Linked DNA regions of Kluyveromyces lactis. The protein of the gene in region 1 interacts with the protein of each later gene in a pairwise test. Links are inferred from orthologs where the notes say so. Each region holds a gene or a part of one and is shown in the gene's direction. Other genes may lie near its edges. The genes, in order: TLG1, SEC9, SEC17, TLG2 and VPS45.

Region 1 (2,524 bases):
AGAGTTAGGTTAATTATCTCTTCTGTTCGTAACGATGGTTCCCTTTCTGATAACGATAGATCCTTAAGAAAATTGTTGAGAAAATGGTCCTGGAGGGAAAACATATCCAAACTAAATAAGGAATTGGTCTTTTTGAATATATTATATTCCCTGGTAGGGACAGGATTTAGCAAATTAACCGGTGCAATACTATATCATCAGTTCAATGTTGACAAATTCACTAATGTGATTCTGTACAACACATTAAAGTTCTGCAGTAAAGTTTGTGAACTCTTCGTAAAGCTACCAATTGAGAATCTATTGAGAAGGAGTCAAGTGAAGTTCTTGTTCACAGAAAACCCATTCCAAGTACAATCTGAAATGTTAATCATAAAACCAAGGGAGTACCAATCCATCTACCTGACGGTATTCAAGCAGTGCGACAGAATTAGTGAACTATGGCGAGGCTGGAGACTCGGGCTTCTAAGCATTTTATGCGGTTATGGTTTGAAGATTTTAAATAAGCCATCAGAAATACTCGAAGAGGAGAAGTTTTAGTTCATGTAGATATCTATAAGTGAACTGGACATTGAAGGAAAACATACATATATAAAATAATAATAATAATACAGATGTCTTTAGTTTAAGAAAGTCGTAAATTCATATCTACGATGAAGGCTTCTGGTTCATTTCGCTTGCATCAATCAAGAACTGGCCTAATACTCGAAGTGGATCCTCGGGCTTTTCTCTGGCTATCAGTTTCATTCCTTCCAATAAATGTTTTGTTACATGTTCATTCAAATATCTTCTAGTGGTTGACCCACCGATCATCGCTACTGGATCAACACGATCATGATCAATTTGTAGTTCCTTCTTGGGTGATACTTCTCTTTCTGTTGTAGCTGCAGTTGCAGAGGTAACAGTTCCAGATGATTCCCTTGGTATACCCGATGGAGACAGGGGTTCAGTGGTAGAAATCGAAGAGACGCCAATATCCGGTACAATATGTTCTTCTTTCTCAAGTTTTACCACATCTTCAGGTGCCATATTCTCCATCACTGGTTCTGACATGTAGATAAGCTTCAGTTGTGGCAGGAGACCAGGATTGGAGCTTTATTCGGCCAAGTCTAGGTGTAGATCTGTCCATGTATATAGTCAAAACTCAGTGATTTTTCAAGATTGTCAATAATAAAAGGAAAATAATAACAAACTGAAATCTTAAACAAAGTTCACCAAGGCAGGTACAATTCGAGCTCCCCAAGAAACAGACCGCACTGAATCAGGTAATACCAATATTATATCAAAATTAACCACCAAAAGCAAAGAGGACAAAATGGATCCATTTATTCAGGTTTTCAAGGACACAGAGGAACAATTGAACCAATTATTGCAGATATTAGATAGGAAGAAGAAAGGGAGATCGAACACCAGTTCGAAAGAGATCTCGGAAATCATCTCTGAGGCTCAAGAGACTATCCAAGATCTAAATGAGAGTATAGAAATGATGAAACAGGAACAAGCTATTCCCGAATACGAAATTCAGACCCGTGAGAAGTCCATGGCAAACCTGGAATCAAAATTGAAACAATGCCAGTCGTTAAATATCGAGACAACCCGCGACACCGATGCAGCTACCCAATCATCATTGCTGCCGCAGCAACAACAGCGTGGCGATTCCTTCGATTTGGACATCGAGGCAACTGCAGGCACCGACCAATCAGACGCGGCAAACCACGACGCCGTACAGGAGCAATTACTCCGTGAACAAGACAATCAATTGGACATGATTCACCAGACAATGCAAAACATTCATCTACAGGCATCTACAATGGGTCAAGAACTAACAGAACAGGGCATGATTCTCGAAGAAATGGACGGAAATGTCGACGGAGTCATGAACAAACTTTCCAGAGGAAGACGACAACTAGAATGGGTCTACGAACACAACAAAGAACGTGTCAACGACTGCTGCATCTTTCTCTTAATCATTGCATTGATCATCCTACTAGTACTAGCATTCATTTTGTGATGTATATCACCGAATTTGAACCGGGAACCAAACAGAAACCAAAAAAGGAAGAAGACGATGCACATTCCCGAGTAACGAAAGGTGCGAAGTTTCCTAAGAGAAACTGACACAATTCTTGACCCCCCAGTTGACGGATCGTCATCGTCGTCGTTCCATTCCTCTGATAGACAAAATACCTCTCGACACTGTTGCGGTATGGAAAAAAATCGGAAATCACAACATACGACAGCGGCTTTGAAATCGTACCACAATGGAGCTTTCGAACTGATTTTTTTGTTGAAATATATAGAAAGTATGGAAACTGAGAAATGGAAAAGTATTAAGACCAAGTTAGTTTTTAAGGTACAAAAGCAAAAGGTTGCTTGCTGGATTGGGTTTTTTGCACGTCAAGCTACAGTGTCAGATCCAAGACTATCGAAGAGAGCGATTTCATTTAAGAGGCGAAGGGCACTAGGATTAGGACGGAGTTGATAATACTTACTGGCATTCATTCCCGGATTTTCTGTGTCTTGTAAT
Region 2 (3,417 bases), on another chromosome or scaffold:
AGCTCATCTCATCTCATCTTGCGGATGGTTGATTCGGCTTGAATTAGTACAGTTCTTCTGACTTATAAACACTAGTTCTGCTTGTTACGCCAGTATACCACTGCAGATAAATCAACTGAAATTATGGCGACTAGGACACAATTTGAGAATTCTAACGAAATTGGTGTGTTTTCGAAGCTAACTAACTCGTACTGTTTGGTGGCACTTGGTGGTTCGGAGAACTTTTATTCTGCGTTTGAAGCCGAATTAGGAGATGCTATTCCTATTGCTCATACCACTATTGCAGGTACGAGGATTGTTGGTCGTATGACTGCTGGTAACCGTAGAGGGTTATTGGTTCCAACTCAAACTACCGACCAAGAATTACAACATTTGAGAAACTGTTTGCCAGATGCTGTGAAGGTTCAAAGAGTTGAGGAGAGATTATCTGCGTTAGGTAATGTTATCTGTTGTAATGATTATGTTGCTTTGGTTCATCCAGACATCGACAGAGAAACTGAGGAGTTGATTGCCGATGTCTTAGGTGTTGAAGTTTTCCGTCAAACAATTTCGGGTAACGTTCTTGTTGGTTCATATTGTGCGTTGTCTAACCAAGGTGGTCTAGTGCATCCTCAGACTACAGTACAAGACCAAGAAGAACTTTCCTCTTTGTTGCAAGTCCCACTAGTTGCTGGTACTGTGAACCGTGGTTCGCAAGTCGTCGGTGCTGGTATGGTCGTGAACGACTATTTGGCAGTTACTGGTCTAGATACCACCGCTCCAGAATTAAGTGTGATCGAATCTATCTTCCGTCTACAAGACGCTCAACCAGAAGCTATCTCTGGTAACTTGCGTGATACTTTGATCGAAACTTACTCATAAAAGGAATTGATACAATCGCTCTCTTCTGTCATTTATATCGTTTTGGCCCCCATTATCGCCCCATTTTTTAATGTAATATTGGTGTATATCTCTGGATCTGTATAGTACAATTTTTATTTTGATTGCTCTTTGGCATTTGCATCAACCCCATACTGTTTATTTCCTTCTTTCTTTTGTATTTTGTGCATCGTGGTTCACTAAGTACTACTGGACCCAAAAGAAACCTTTAAATTTAAATGAAACAAAAGAATCGAAAAGTTGTAGTTCCTTTAACATCAATTTTTAGATAGGTAAAGACAAGGTAAAAGGGGAACATCGATCAAATAAGGTTAAAAGGTTGCTGTTACCGTAGTGAAACCATGGGTATTAAGAAGTTCTTCAAGATCAAGCCACCTCCAGAGGCTACCCCCGAAGAAAACCGTGAATATTTGAACGAGTTAGGAATTTCCACCAAGACTACACCATCAAATAGAAGAGAAAAGTTTGCCGCATATGGGAAGTTTGCTAACGATAAGGTCAAAAGTAAGGTCTATGCACCAGAAGGATATGAACAATATGCGAATCCTGGAGCTCAGCCTTCTGAGCGACAGCAGTTGGATGATTTGAACAACTCTCCTTACGATGAAGTCTCCATGATTAACAATAGAAACGCTTCTGCCAGCGCTCGACACACGGGCAACTACGTTGATCCATATAGCAATGATAATGCATCTCCGTATGGGAACAGTGATTCCTCTCCCTATGGAAATGCAAGTGCTTCTCCATATGATACCGGTTACAACGCGCCACTGCAGCAGAACAATAACCCGTATGGATCAATGAATAATAGCTACAGCAACAAAAGCTATGGCAGTAACAGCTATAGTGGTGATACATACGCAAGTCCGTCTCCGCAGGCATCTAGCAGCAATAATAATGGTGCTACCGGTCAGAGACCTAGTAACCCTTATGCTAACATGAACAGTCAGGATCCGTATGGAACAAATTCGTATTCAAATTCTGGTAGCGTGAATGCATATAAGGGCTTTACTCCAAATGTGGCGGCTTCTGATGTTTCAAGTAGATCTTATGCCTCACCTCGTCACTCTACATCTGCAACCAGATCAAACGACCGTGAATTTAATTTCGAACGGTCCGGAGCTGATGACGAAATAGATCTCAATGAGACAATTAGGCCAGAAATTGATAATCCTAAGGGAGTTCAACGCAATGGCAACGGTGATGATGATGATTTAAACAATTCCATTCATGAGAACGAGGGTATTGGGACCCCTGCAAAGGGTTATCAGACATTTGAAGATATTCAAAAAGAAAGTCAGCGTGCTGAACAACAAGAAGAAGATGAAGAAGTAGATGGGATCAAGCAACAGATCAAATTTACAAAACAGAGTTCAGTTGCCAGTACGAGAAACACGCTAAAGATGGCACAGGATGCTGAATTAGCTGGTATGAATACCATCGGTATGTTAGGACATCAATCGGAGAAATTGAACAATGTGGAAAGAAACCTGAATTTAATGCAAATCCAGAACAGAGTTGCCGATGATAAAGTGAGTGAATTGAAGAAGTTAAACCGGAACATTTTAGCGGTCCATGTATCGAATCCGTTCCATAGTAAGAGACGTGCACGCGAAGCGGAAGATAAGATAAAGTTACAAAGGATGCAGGACAAACAAAACCAAGAGGATATCACGTCGACGTTACACCAAAGTACGAAACGTATCGAGAATGCCATGTCGAGTGGACATGGTCCATCTGAAGTTCGTGATCGGTACCAGAACCAGCAGATCTTAGAGAAGGCTAAAAGGTATCAGTTCGAGAACGACGAAGAAGATGATGAAATGGAAATGGAAATCGACAAGAACTTGGATAAGATTGGACAAATCAGTGGTAGGTTAAAGAAACTTGCGATTACCACTGGTAAGGAGATAGATTCTCAACAAGATCGGATCAAGCGGATTGAGGAGAGCACCGATGATTTGGATATCAAGATCCATGTGAACACGACTAGGTTAACCAATATAAGATGAAGGAAGAGTCTTATAAATAAAATGTTAATTAAAAAATGCAAAATGTGAGATCGTTAAAGTCGCCATGGCGGGGGTATACATCATAAACATATTCTATATAATATCAGAAAGTACTGCTGTATCTTATCTATCTTCGATGTAGAAAATGTGTGAAAGCGATTGTGCCAGGAGTTCCACCTGGAGGAGGAAAAGGGGCCAGCATAAGAGAGCCCATATAATCATAGCGTGTTGTTCATAAAGAGAGTGAGTGTGTTTGTGTTGTGTTTGTGTTTAAGTATTGCAAAGTTATTGTGATGTTCAGGAATCCTCTTAACTATCCTGTCAAATTATAGTTCAACCAAAGCTTGTAGTTATCCTCAGCAGTATGATCCGTGTAACTGACAAACTCTTGATCCTTCCCAACGACAGAACGCGGTATCGTCATCATCGGAAGTGAAGCCCCATGTCCTAATGTGTTCCTATCCAGTGACAATTCCAGATCGAAATCCATATCATCTTGATCTCGATCTAGAAGATCATATATCGT
Region 3 (2,976 bases), about 210 kb from region 1:
GGACAGTGGATCTTTCATCCTCACAGTTTTTTCAATTCTGCAAACTTGACGAGTTTCAAACTCATTTACAATACCAACCAGTTTTCATCTTTAGCAAGTGATTAGAATTTAAAGATTGTATAGGTTGTTAACTACGTTTTATAGTTGTTCATATTCACTCTTATATACCCTCCAGAAACCAAGCAAACACAAAGAAACCAAAATGTATGATACCTAATGCACACCGCGCACAGTTATGGGGCCGAAGAACTCAGTGATCGATATAACAAGTTGAACTATGAACTATGATAGACTAGACGATGAGGATTGAAGAAGACGAAGAAGAAGCAGACTGATACGATACAGGCAGACTGACCTGTTCACTAGGAGATGGAATCAACATAGAAGAAGTGTAGTGACAAATGGGTAACTGGAATTATACCATAAGCACAAGAAACTACAGCTAGATGCAAAATTCCAGTGTGATGATTTATAGTGTCAGCTCCACACGCACGACAGCAGAATAAATGACGATCTATTAGACCTCCTCCCCCAAAAAAACTGTTGTTCCTTTAATTGCAACAATTTTACTAACTTTTATATCTGTGTTATTACCCATTCTACCTGTGGTATCGATTCATTACCACCCATTATGTGAACAAATTGAATCGAACTATTGGAATCGGACGTAATGAATACACAATTCATTTTATATTCAGGGCTAAAAGAACTAAGAAGGTTGGTATCACTGGTAAGTACGGTGTCCGTTACGGTTCCTCTTTGAGAAGACAAGTTAAGAAGTTGGAAGTTCAACAACACGCCACTTATAACTGTTCTTTCTGTGGTAAGACTTGTGTTAAGAGAGGTGCTGCTGGTGTCTGGTCTTGTTCTTCTTGTAACAGAACCATCGCTGGTGGTGCTTACACTTTGTCTACCGCCGCTGCCGCTACCGTCAGATCTACCATCAGAAGATTGAGAGACATGGCTGAAGCTTAAGCTTGTTGCATCGTATAATCATGTTATAAGTATCCTTCAATAAAACGTATCTTTCCACTTTGTGTTATTTTATATTCCATCTACCCTATATAACTGATTTAGGCGTGATGGTCGAGTGTTCATCCTCGCGTCCAGCCAAATACCTTGGACCGGCTCCCAGGCCAGCCTATTTGAAAGTCACGTGAATTAATTACCCGGCTGCTGATAGCCTTCCGTTGTTTCTCCCCTTAAGGAATTTCTTTACTTTCTGATGGTAATTAGAATATGTAACATGTAATGATGATACAATGTTGATAGTTTGATAGTAAAAGTTGTAAGCAAGCTCTTGGTTGACAAAAGTTAACAGCATTCAGCCATATCCCACTCAGGTTTTCTTTGAATATGTCGGATGTTAAAGAAATTATAGCTAAGGTACGTTTTTTCTCCATCATTTATGTTGAAAGGTCAAATCAATAAGTCTAGGAAAGTATGATGACAATGGTTGACCTTATTCTCGCCTGAACCCCTAATACTAACAATAAACATATGCAAACCCTAGCCATAATGTGATGAAAGAGGAAGTGATTTATCATTCGTATTCTCTCTTTTTCACTTAATGGTATGGAAACATATCTCATGTCATTTTTGTAATAGGCCGAAAAGAAGGCTAAACCATCATCAGGATTTTTCAGTTTCCTTAGCGGTTCAGACTCTTACCGTTACGAAGAAGCAGCAGATCTTTATATCGAGGCTGCAAACCTCTATAGGCTAAGAAAGGAGTTGGATCAAGCGGGTGATACTTTCTTGAGGGCAGCAGAGTGTCAAATACAGGCTTCTAATGAAGATGAAGCAGGAAATACGTATATCGAAGCCTACAAGTGTTTCAAGACAGGATCTTCTCCAGCACAAGCTGCTGAGTCCTTAGCCAAGTCGATAGATATTTTCACAAGAAGAGGTCAGTTTAGAAGAGGTGCCAACTTCAAATTCGAATTGGCTGAATTACAAGAACAGCAATTACAGGATTACCCAAGTGCCATTGCCAATTATGAAACAGCTGGTGATTGGTATTTGCAAGACCAAGCTATTGCTCTCTCGAATAAATCCTACATTAAATGCGCCGATTTGAAAGCTTTGAACGGTGATTATTTGGAAGCTACCGAGATCTTAAAGAAAGTCGTTGAAAATTCATTGGGGAATAAATTAAGCCAGTGGTCGCTCAAAGAGTACTTATTGAAGATTGGCCTATGTTACCTTGCTGCTGGTGATGTTGTAGCTGCAGATAAAAGTTTGAACGAATCACAATCGTTGGATCCATCATTCTCTCAATCAAGGGAGTTTGAGTTACTATCAAACGTAATTGAAGCTGTAAGGGAAGGTGATACTGAAAAATTATCGCAAAAGATCTACGAATATGATAGGTTCAATAAGTTAGACCATTGGAAAACAACTATACTCTTGAAGGTGAAAAATACAATCGTCGAGGCGGATGACGATCTACTATAAAATGGTAATATTCAACTCATTCTCTTGTAATTGTATTCTTTTCTCTAACACAACTGTCACTTTTTTGGTGGAATAATTATTTTATAAATGGTGTATACCCATTTGTACAACCACATCGAGTGGTTTGTTTCACGTTAACGTCTTTCATTTCCCATTATCAACTATATCGATGCAAATAAGCTTGCCATCTGGCTTGGACGTTTGGAAATTTTGAAGATGTTAATGGTAACGAAAATGTTTTTTAAGCTTCTGACGAACGGCTCCCTTACCGTTTTGAATAAATATACAATTAAGTAAGAAATGTATCACAATTTTTTACATCTTCTTACGGTAAGAAACAAACCTAATATTTCAGAATGCTGGTACAATTTTTAATGAATATGATGATACTTCCTCAGCAAATCTACTAGATGAGCCTACGCAAAAGGCAGTTGATTGATAATATCACTAGATGAATGAAAACACATCAACTGAGGGGTAACATGATCTCTAAAACGTTCAGATAAGAGGACCCTTTCG
Region 4 (2,806 bases), on another chromosome or scaffold:
TGCATTGAGGACACAGAGAAATTCGTCTGTGTCAACTTCCTGGATAACCAATCCACTTTTTTCCTTGTATTACAGAATATCACACATTGTGTTATCGTTAACGAATCGTATAGATCACAGAGTGTATCAAACTTCCATTCTTCCTTTTCTACATCCACATAATATTGCTTTATCACGTCCAAGGATATCTCATCCCGCTTAACCAATATCTTCACCGGGTCACTCATGAACTTCTTGGTGATCTCTAATATATCTTTACTCATTGTAGCACTTACCACCACGACTTGAATCGTCGGTGGTAACTTGGTGAAAATGTCGTAGATTTGTTGTTTAAACCCCAAAGTTTCTCCGAGTAGTTCATCTGCTTCATCGAGAACTAAGATCTTACAGTTTCTAACGTTCAATACTTGTCTCTTGATCATATCTAGTACACGGCCCGGTGTACCACTGACCACTTGACAATTTTTCGATACTTTCTTGATATCTTGTTGTAAGGCCTTACCTCCTGTGCACGCATGTGCTGTAACGTTCAAATAGTCTCCTAGGTTAGATATCACAGATTCACTTTGACTCGCTAGTTCTCTTGTTGGTGATAAGACCAATGCTTGTAACTCTTTGCTCTTAGAATCAATTGCTTGTAATAATCCAATGGTAAATGTGGCCGTCTTACCGGTACCAGACTGTGCCTGGGCAATCACATCTTTTCCTGAGATAATCTGAGAAATGGCTCTAGACTGAATGGATGATGGATATTCAAAGCCGTAAAAATATATGCCTCGTAACAAATCCGGTTTCAAGTTCATCGACTCAAAAGTGGCAGATACCTTGAGCTTCTTTGAAGTCTTAAACTTCAACTTCGAGTCATCATCTCTGTTGAACGACATTGTTGATGTGATGATTCCCTTTCTTAACAACAGTAACTCCCGGTTACACTTCACTTGGACCTACCGTTGCAGCCTCTATTTCAATGCATCTCATCGCATCTCATCTTATCGTTGTGCTTGCCAAATTTTCCATTTTTTAAAGGTTTTAAGCTGAGAACCGAAAGTTCAACAACACTTTAAGGTGTCAAATTACAAGTGTATGTAAATAACTGCAGAACAACTGGTCGAGTGGCTCGATCTAGTGATTATTTAGATCAGATTAGTGGTAGTGCGTGCTTTCTTCCCTTGTTTGCTTTTGAACTGCACCATGTTTCGTGATAGAACTAATTTGTTTTTATCCTATAGGAGAACTTTCCCCCATCAGAGGCTTTCGAGTACCAAGCATCTACGATCGAATAAAGATTTGGAGAACCAGCCATTCATTGGTAGTGACGATGGTAACAATGATGAAGATATGGTTGCTATGGATGATTTCTCCCGTCAATTACCGCCAAAATTTTTCGATTTAACGTTCCAAGTGGATGAGTCGTTATCTGCAGTAGATCAATTGTTGCTACAGTTGACGAAACTATATCAAAAGAACTCTTTACCAGGATTCCAGGACAATAAGCAGGATGAGGAGGAGATTGAGCAGATAAGTTTCCAGGTAATTAAGAGATTCCAAGAATGTTTTGGTGTTATCAAGACTCTTACGAGAATTAAGGATTCTCAATATTCGAATGGTAAGCAGCTAAGCAAGGACGAGTTAAGGATATTGGATAACCTAGAAAAGAACTACGCTTTGAAAGTGCAAGACAAATCGCAGAAGTTCAGAATATTACAGAATAATCATTTGAAGTTTTTGAATAAAGATGATTTCAAACCACTACCCACTACGAAATCAAGTAACGATACATTGATGTTGTTGGAGGAAGAAGTTGAAGGAGATGAAGTCAATAACATCGACTCATATTCAAAGCAGACTTTACAAAAACAGAATCAGAAGTTACAGGATAACAATCAGCAATTTTTGCAACAAAGAGATGAGGAAATTACACAGTTAGCGAAAGGTGTACTCGAAGTTAGTACTATTTTCAGGGAAATGCAGTCTTTGATCATAGATCAAGGTACAGTGGTCGATAGGATCGATTATAACTTAGAAAACACGGTTATTGAATTAAAGCAGGCCCAAAAGGAGTTAGACAAGGCAACGCACTACCAAAAACGGAGTCAAAAATGTAAAATTATTCTATTTCTATCTTTGGTCGTTCTAGCGTTATTCCTCCTTGTCATGCTGAAACCTCATCACCATACTATACGAGAATCAGCTCCTTCAAAATCTCACAAACCTCCTGGATCACAAGTGGAGGTCAATTCTCCTAATGGAGACCCGTTGCTGGATCCAGAAAGTAATGTAGAATAAAAATGGTCAAATATTAATGAACTTGCTTATGATGGAGAAACTGCATCGAACTTCGAAAACAAATTTTGATATCGTGATAGAAGTAAACGACCACTGTCGAATTGGTAACAGTAGAAAGGTTCAAAAAAGTTAACTAGAGAGGAGGTCTATATATTATCTGTTACAGTAAATAGAATAAATTTGTTTAAAAAGTGAGTGGTTTCAGTATGAATATTACAATCAGAACTTAAAATGCTCCATAGGGACTGTCTCTTGACATGGATGCAGAGGTAGGTTATTTTTTCTTGGGAGCCTTTTCCTATAAGCAGGTTTATAGTGCATTGAAGATGCTGGTGCGGAGTTTAGCCCTGCACTCCTTTGGCTATTTCCGTATGATGCTGGACCAGTTCCGATGGAGAATTCAGGGTTTGATTGTAATAAGAAATCTGATGCAGACGGACCAGCCGAATACGGAGGTTGTGGTTGTTGTGGTTGTTGTTGCTGTACTGGTAGTGGCGGAGGGTGGTAGTATCCTTGTTGC
Region 5 (3,465 bases), about 1.4 Mb from region 1:
AGTGTTCGCTGCTATAATATCCTCATGCTCCGTAGTTTCCACATTATAAGATTTCTGCAGATTACCGTTTCCATTATTGAAATCAAACATATGTTGCCTGTGGCGTCTTAGACTATTCGTGTTCGATATAGTGTCCTGATTGCCAGGGTCAATAAGGTCATCTTCCCTGTCAGGAGCGTCAATTTTGTCATTATCCATTGGGCTCACAGCTCTTGATGAAATATGATCATCATCTGCATCAACTCTGTTTCTAAGCCGTGACGGTGGTTTATAGCTCAATGGCCTTTGTAGAGGTCTACCAGAATCCACTCTTAACCCAGCTCTGTCCTGAAAATCATTGATGCTATGCATCGAGTTCCTCTGAGTTGTTGAATTTTTGCCCGTTCCATTTATTGTCTCATCATCTGATGCATCATCTCCTTCTATATCGGTGAAAGACTCTACCTCTTCATCAGTCATAGAATCGTTATCCCCAGAATCGTGAAGATCTAGGATGACGGACTTGGAGTTCCTATCACTAATTAGGCCCTTATGCTTCATGCTGTGACTATTCTGGTGTAGCACAACTGGATGAGATGATGTTCTTACCAATGCCGTCATACTGAGACCACTGTGTACCGTGCGTCTGTTCAATGAGTCCGAACTCTTCGATTTCTTCATAGGATCGAAAAGTCCTCTATTCAATGCATCGTGGCTTCCTACCTTGTGTAATTTCTGTAAGTTCTTGAAACTGGTGTTGCTCTTGCTCCTAGATTTTGCAGAGAACTGTTTAGGTTTTCCATGTCCTTTCTTCTGCTTCATATACTGTGATAGACTGGTATCTGAATTAGTCTTCACAGGCTTCACACGGGAAATTGTGGCCATTGTTGTAAAGAATAGCCAGTAGCCTCAACTTAAGAATTATTACCTTGACTGTACAGAATTGTGGAAAAATTGCTATTTCCCACCTAAATGTAAAGTTTGGAATCACAGGCTATAGCAAGATTGTTGTTCCTGTGTTTGTTTGTAGTTAAACAAAGATGGATTGATGTGTGCCAGAATCTTAGTTTCAACTCTTTTTGAAAATAAGTATTAAAGGAGAAATGACCTTAAACTTTTGCATGGAACAAAGTAGCAGTGAGAAACGGTAGATTAAGGCTGCTGTAGCGCGTGCCAACGGTGAATCAGCAATTAAGATATCCAAGTTCTTTTGAAATTGAGAGGATAGAGCACTTTTTCGTAATGAATTTGTTTACGGTTGGTGATTATTATATCAGCAGAATCGCAAATTTCCAGTCCAAACCGTCGGACACCTCGATACAGGAGAAGTCGAGAGTAAAGGCATTGATTTTGGATAATGACACACTCTCTACGATATCGATGTGTACTACTCAAACCGAGCTATTAAAGCACGAGATTTACTTGGTCGATAAACTTGAGAATATTCACAGAGATCCAATGCCACATTTGAAATGTTTATGCTATTTGAAACCCACTGAGGATACGATTCAAGACCTATTACACGAATTACAGGATCCCAAGTATGGCGAATACCAGATTTTCTTCAATAACCAGGTGAGTAAGTCCCAGTTGGAACGGTTAGCCGAAAGAGATGATATGGAGGTTGTCACACATGTAGAAGAAGTTTTCCAAGACTACCTAATTGTGAACGAGGATGTCTTCACTTTAGAGATCCCGTTGTACAATCTTCTCCAAAATCAATTGGTATGGGATCCAAAGGGATTGCAGGAGACGTCTAACGGGTTAATCTCATTGCTACTATCGTTAAAACTAAATCCGACAATTGCGTATGACTCGGATAGCAAATTGTGTCAAAAGTTAGCTAAGGATTTAGAGTATGAAATTAAGACAAATGAAAGGCAGTTATTTGATTTTCCCGTCAGAGATTCGAATCCGTTACTAATTTTACTTGACAGGAAATCGGATCCATTGACACCATTACTTCAACCGTGGACCTATCAATCGATGATAAATGAATATATCGGAATAAAAAGAAACTTGGTAGACCTTTCGAATGTACCAAATATCGATCCCGATTTGAAGCAGGTTGTACTCTCTTCAAAACAAGATAAGTTCTTCAAAGAAACAATGTATATGAATTTTGGTGATTTGGCAGATAAGGTGAAGAACTATGTTACTCAGTATAAAAATAAGACCAACATTACCAAACAAATCAATACGATAGAAGATATTAAAGAGTTCATCGAAAAGTTCCCCGAATTTAAGAAACTCTCAGGCAACATTTCAAAACATATGGCCATTGTTAGTGAATTAGATAGGCAATTACAACTGAAGAATATATGGGAAGTCAGTGAGCTAGAGCAAAACCTCTCTTCACATGATGACAATAACGATGACTTTGTAGAACTGAAGAGAATTCTAAACTTACCAACCTTAGAATCATATTACAAATTAAAATTATGCTGCATTTTTGTTCTACGACACGGCAAGAACGAATCTAGAGTTTCTGAGTTGGAGAATATTCTAAGACAACAGTGTGATCCCACACAAATTTCTCTTTACTTTCAATTTAAACAGAGATTTGGGTCAATATTCAATAAACACAAAGCTCCTCAGGACAATGATTTGATTAGTGGATTAACCAAGAAATTCAACAGATTAGGCAGCACCAGCGCTGAAAATGTGTTTATGCAACATGTTCCTGAATTGACAACACTTCTCAGCGATTTGGATAAAAACAAGTTCCCACAAGAGGGAGTGACTCTTTTAAACCAAAATATTGACCCTAAGACATATATGCCACAAGATGTTGTTATATTGATCGTCGGAGGCCTCACTATAGAAGAAGCGCGCGCAGTACATCAATTCAATGAGAAACAGAGTAAAAATAAGGACAATTGCAGAGTTATCATTGGAGGAACCTCGATTATTTCTACAGAGCAATTTTTAACAGATGTTTGCGCCGTTAATGATAAACCAGTTGACTTATTATGAACTTACGTATGTACTTCAGATGTAGAATTAGGTAAGGAAATGTATGAAACAAGAAAAGAACACTCTCTATCATGCTTTTAAGAAGCTGGACTAAACTTTTGCTCCCAAAGCAGTAATTTCCTCGTTAGCTCATCCATCGTTTTGAAGGATTCGTCGTAACTGGAGAATATTTTATTAATATTTTCCAGGAATTCTTCGTTTTCCACAAACTGGCACAACTGATCCCGTTGACGTTGGTCATTAGATATTTCTAACTGTGTCCTTGAGATAAATTCCAGAATAGCGTTAACTCTTCTTCTCATTTCATGCATAGTGGTCCTCTGAGAGGGAATCCTGGGTTTTAGAGGCTTGTTGATTCCGATATCATTAGATTGTCCATTAGATTTCGACAAGTTTGAACTTCCAGAGGAACCCGATCCTTTTGAGCTGCTAGCTTTAGAATTCCTTGCAACTCTTCCACTTGAGGTCTTGTAAATCCTTGAGTTACTTTGCGTGGTTGAACCATTGCTC

Evidence for each region.
Region 2: the proteins of TLG1 (region 1) and SEC9 interact in a two-hybrid assay, tested with the Saccharomyces cerevisiae proteins (2 studies listed by BioGRID, with this or other methods). The link is inferred for Kluyveromyces lactis from reciprocal best matches to the Saccharomyces cerevisiae genes TLG1 and SEC9.
Region 3: the proteins of TLG1 (region 1) and SEC17 interact in binary tests that used the Saccharomyces cerevisiae proteins (3 or more experiments, as listed by UniProt). The link is inferred for Kluyveromyces lactis from reciprocal best matches to the Saccharomyces cerevisiae genes TLG1 and SEC17.
Region 4: the proteins of TLG1 (region 1) and TLG2 interact in binary tests that used the Saccharomyces cerevisiae proteins (3 or more experiments, as listed by UniProt). The link is inferred for Kluyveromyces lactis from reciprocal best matches to the Saccharomyces cerevisiae genes TLG1 and TLG2.
Region 5: the proteins of TLG1 (region 1) and VPS45 interact in binary tests that used the Saccharomyces cerevisiae proteins (3 or more experiments, as listed by UniProt). The link is inferred for Kluyveromyces lactis from reciprocal best matches to the Saccharomyces cerevisiae genes TLG1 and VPS45.

The regions. Positions count from the first base shown.
Region 1 is NC_006041.1:318,855-321,378, forward strand, and holds TLG1 (Tlg1p), read left to right. Parts: upstream 1-1,312; coding exon 1,313-2,008; downstream 2,009-2,524. Other genes in the region: mitofusin complex protein UGO1, read left to right, coding at 1-537; SDC1 (Sdc1p), read right to left, coding at 646-1,050.
Region 2 is NC_006040.1:173,351-176,767, reverse strand, and holds SEC9 (Sec9p), read left to right. Parts: upstream 1-1,220; coding exon 1,221-2,891; downstream 2,892-3,417. Other genes in the region: TIF6 (translation initiation factor 6), read left to right, coding at 124-861; ECL1 (Ecl1p), read right to left, coding at 3,205-3,417. UniProt on the Saccharomyces cerevisiae protein: Component of a SNARE complex that may be the effector of SEC4 function in exocytosis.
Region 3 is NC_006041.1:529,675-532,650, reverse strand, and holds SEC17 (alpha-soluble NSF attachment protein SEC17), read left to right. Parts: upstream 1-1,356; coding exon 1,357-1,386; intron 1,387-1,608; coding exon 1,609-2,457; downstream 2,458-2,976. Other genes in the region: RPL43B (60S ribosomal protein eL43), read left to right, coding at 203-204, 699-975. UniProt on the Saccharomyces cerevisiae protein: SNARE complex protein that binds to cis-SNARE complexes on membranes and is required for vesicular transport between the endoplasmic reticulum and the Golgi apparatus and for homotypic vacuole fusion.
Region 4 is NC_006037.1:927,372-930,177, forward strand, and holds TLG2 (t-SNARE syntaxin TLG2), read left to right. Parts: upstream 1-1,191; coding exon 1,192-2,286; downstream 2,287-2,806. Other genes in the region: ATP-dependent RNA helicase FAL1, read right to left, coding at 1-884; KLLA0_A10703g (uncharacterized protein), read right to left, coding at 2,506-2,806. UniProt on the Saccharomyces cerevisiae protein: t-SNARE that functions in transport from the endosome to the late Golgi and on the endocytic pathway.
Region 5 is NC_006041.1:1,671,831-1,675,295, reverse strand, and holds VPS45 (Vps45p), read left to right. Parts: upstream 1-1,221; coding exon 1,222-2,955; downstream 2,956-3,465. Other genes in the region: TCO89 (Tco89p), read right to left, coding at 1-864; CTI6 (Cti6p), read right to left, coding at 3,033-3,465. UniProt on the Saccharomyces cerevisiae protein: Essential for vacuolar protein sorting. Function in membrane traffic between the Golgi and the vacuole.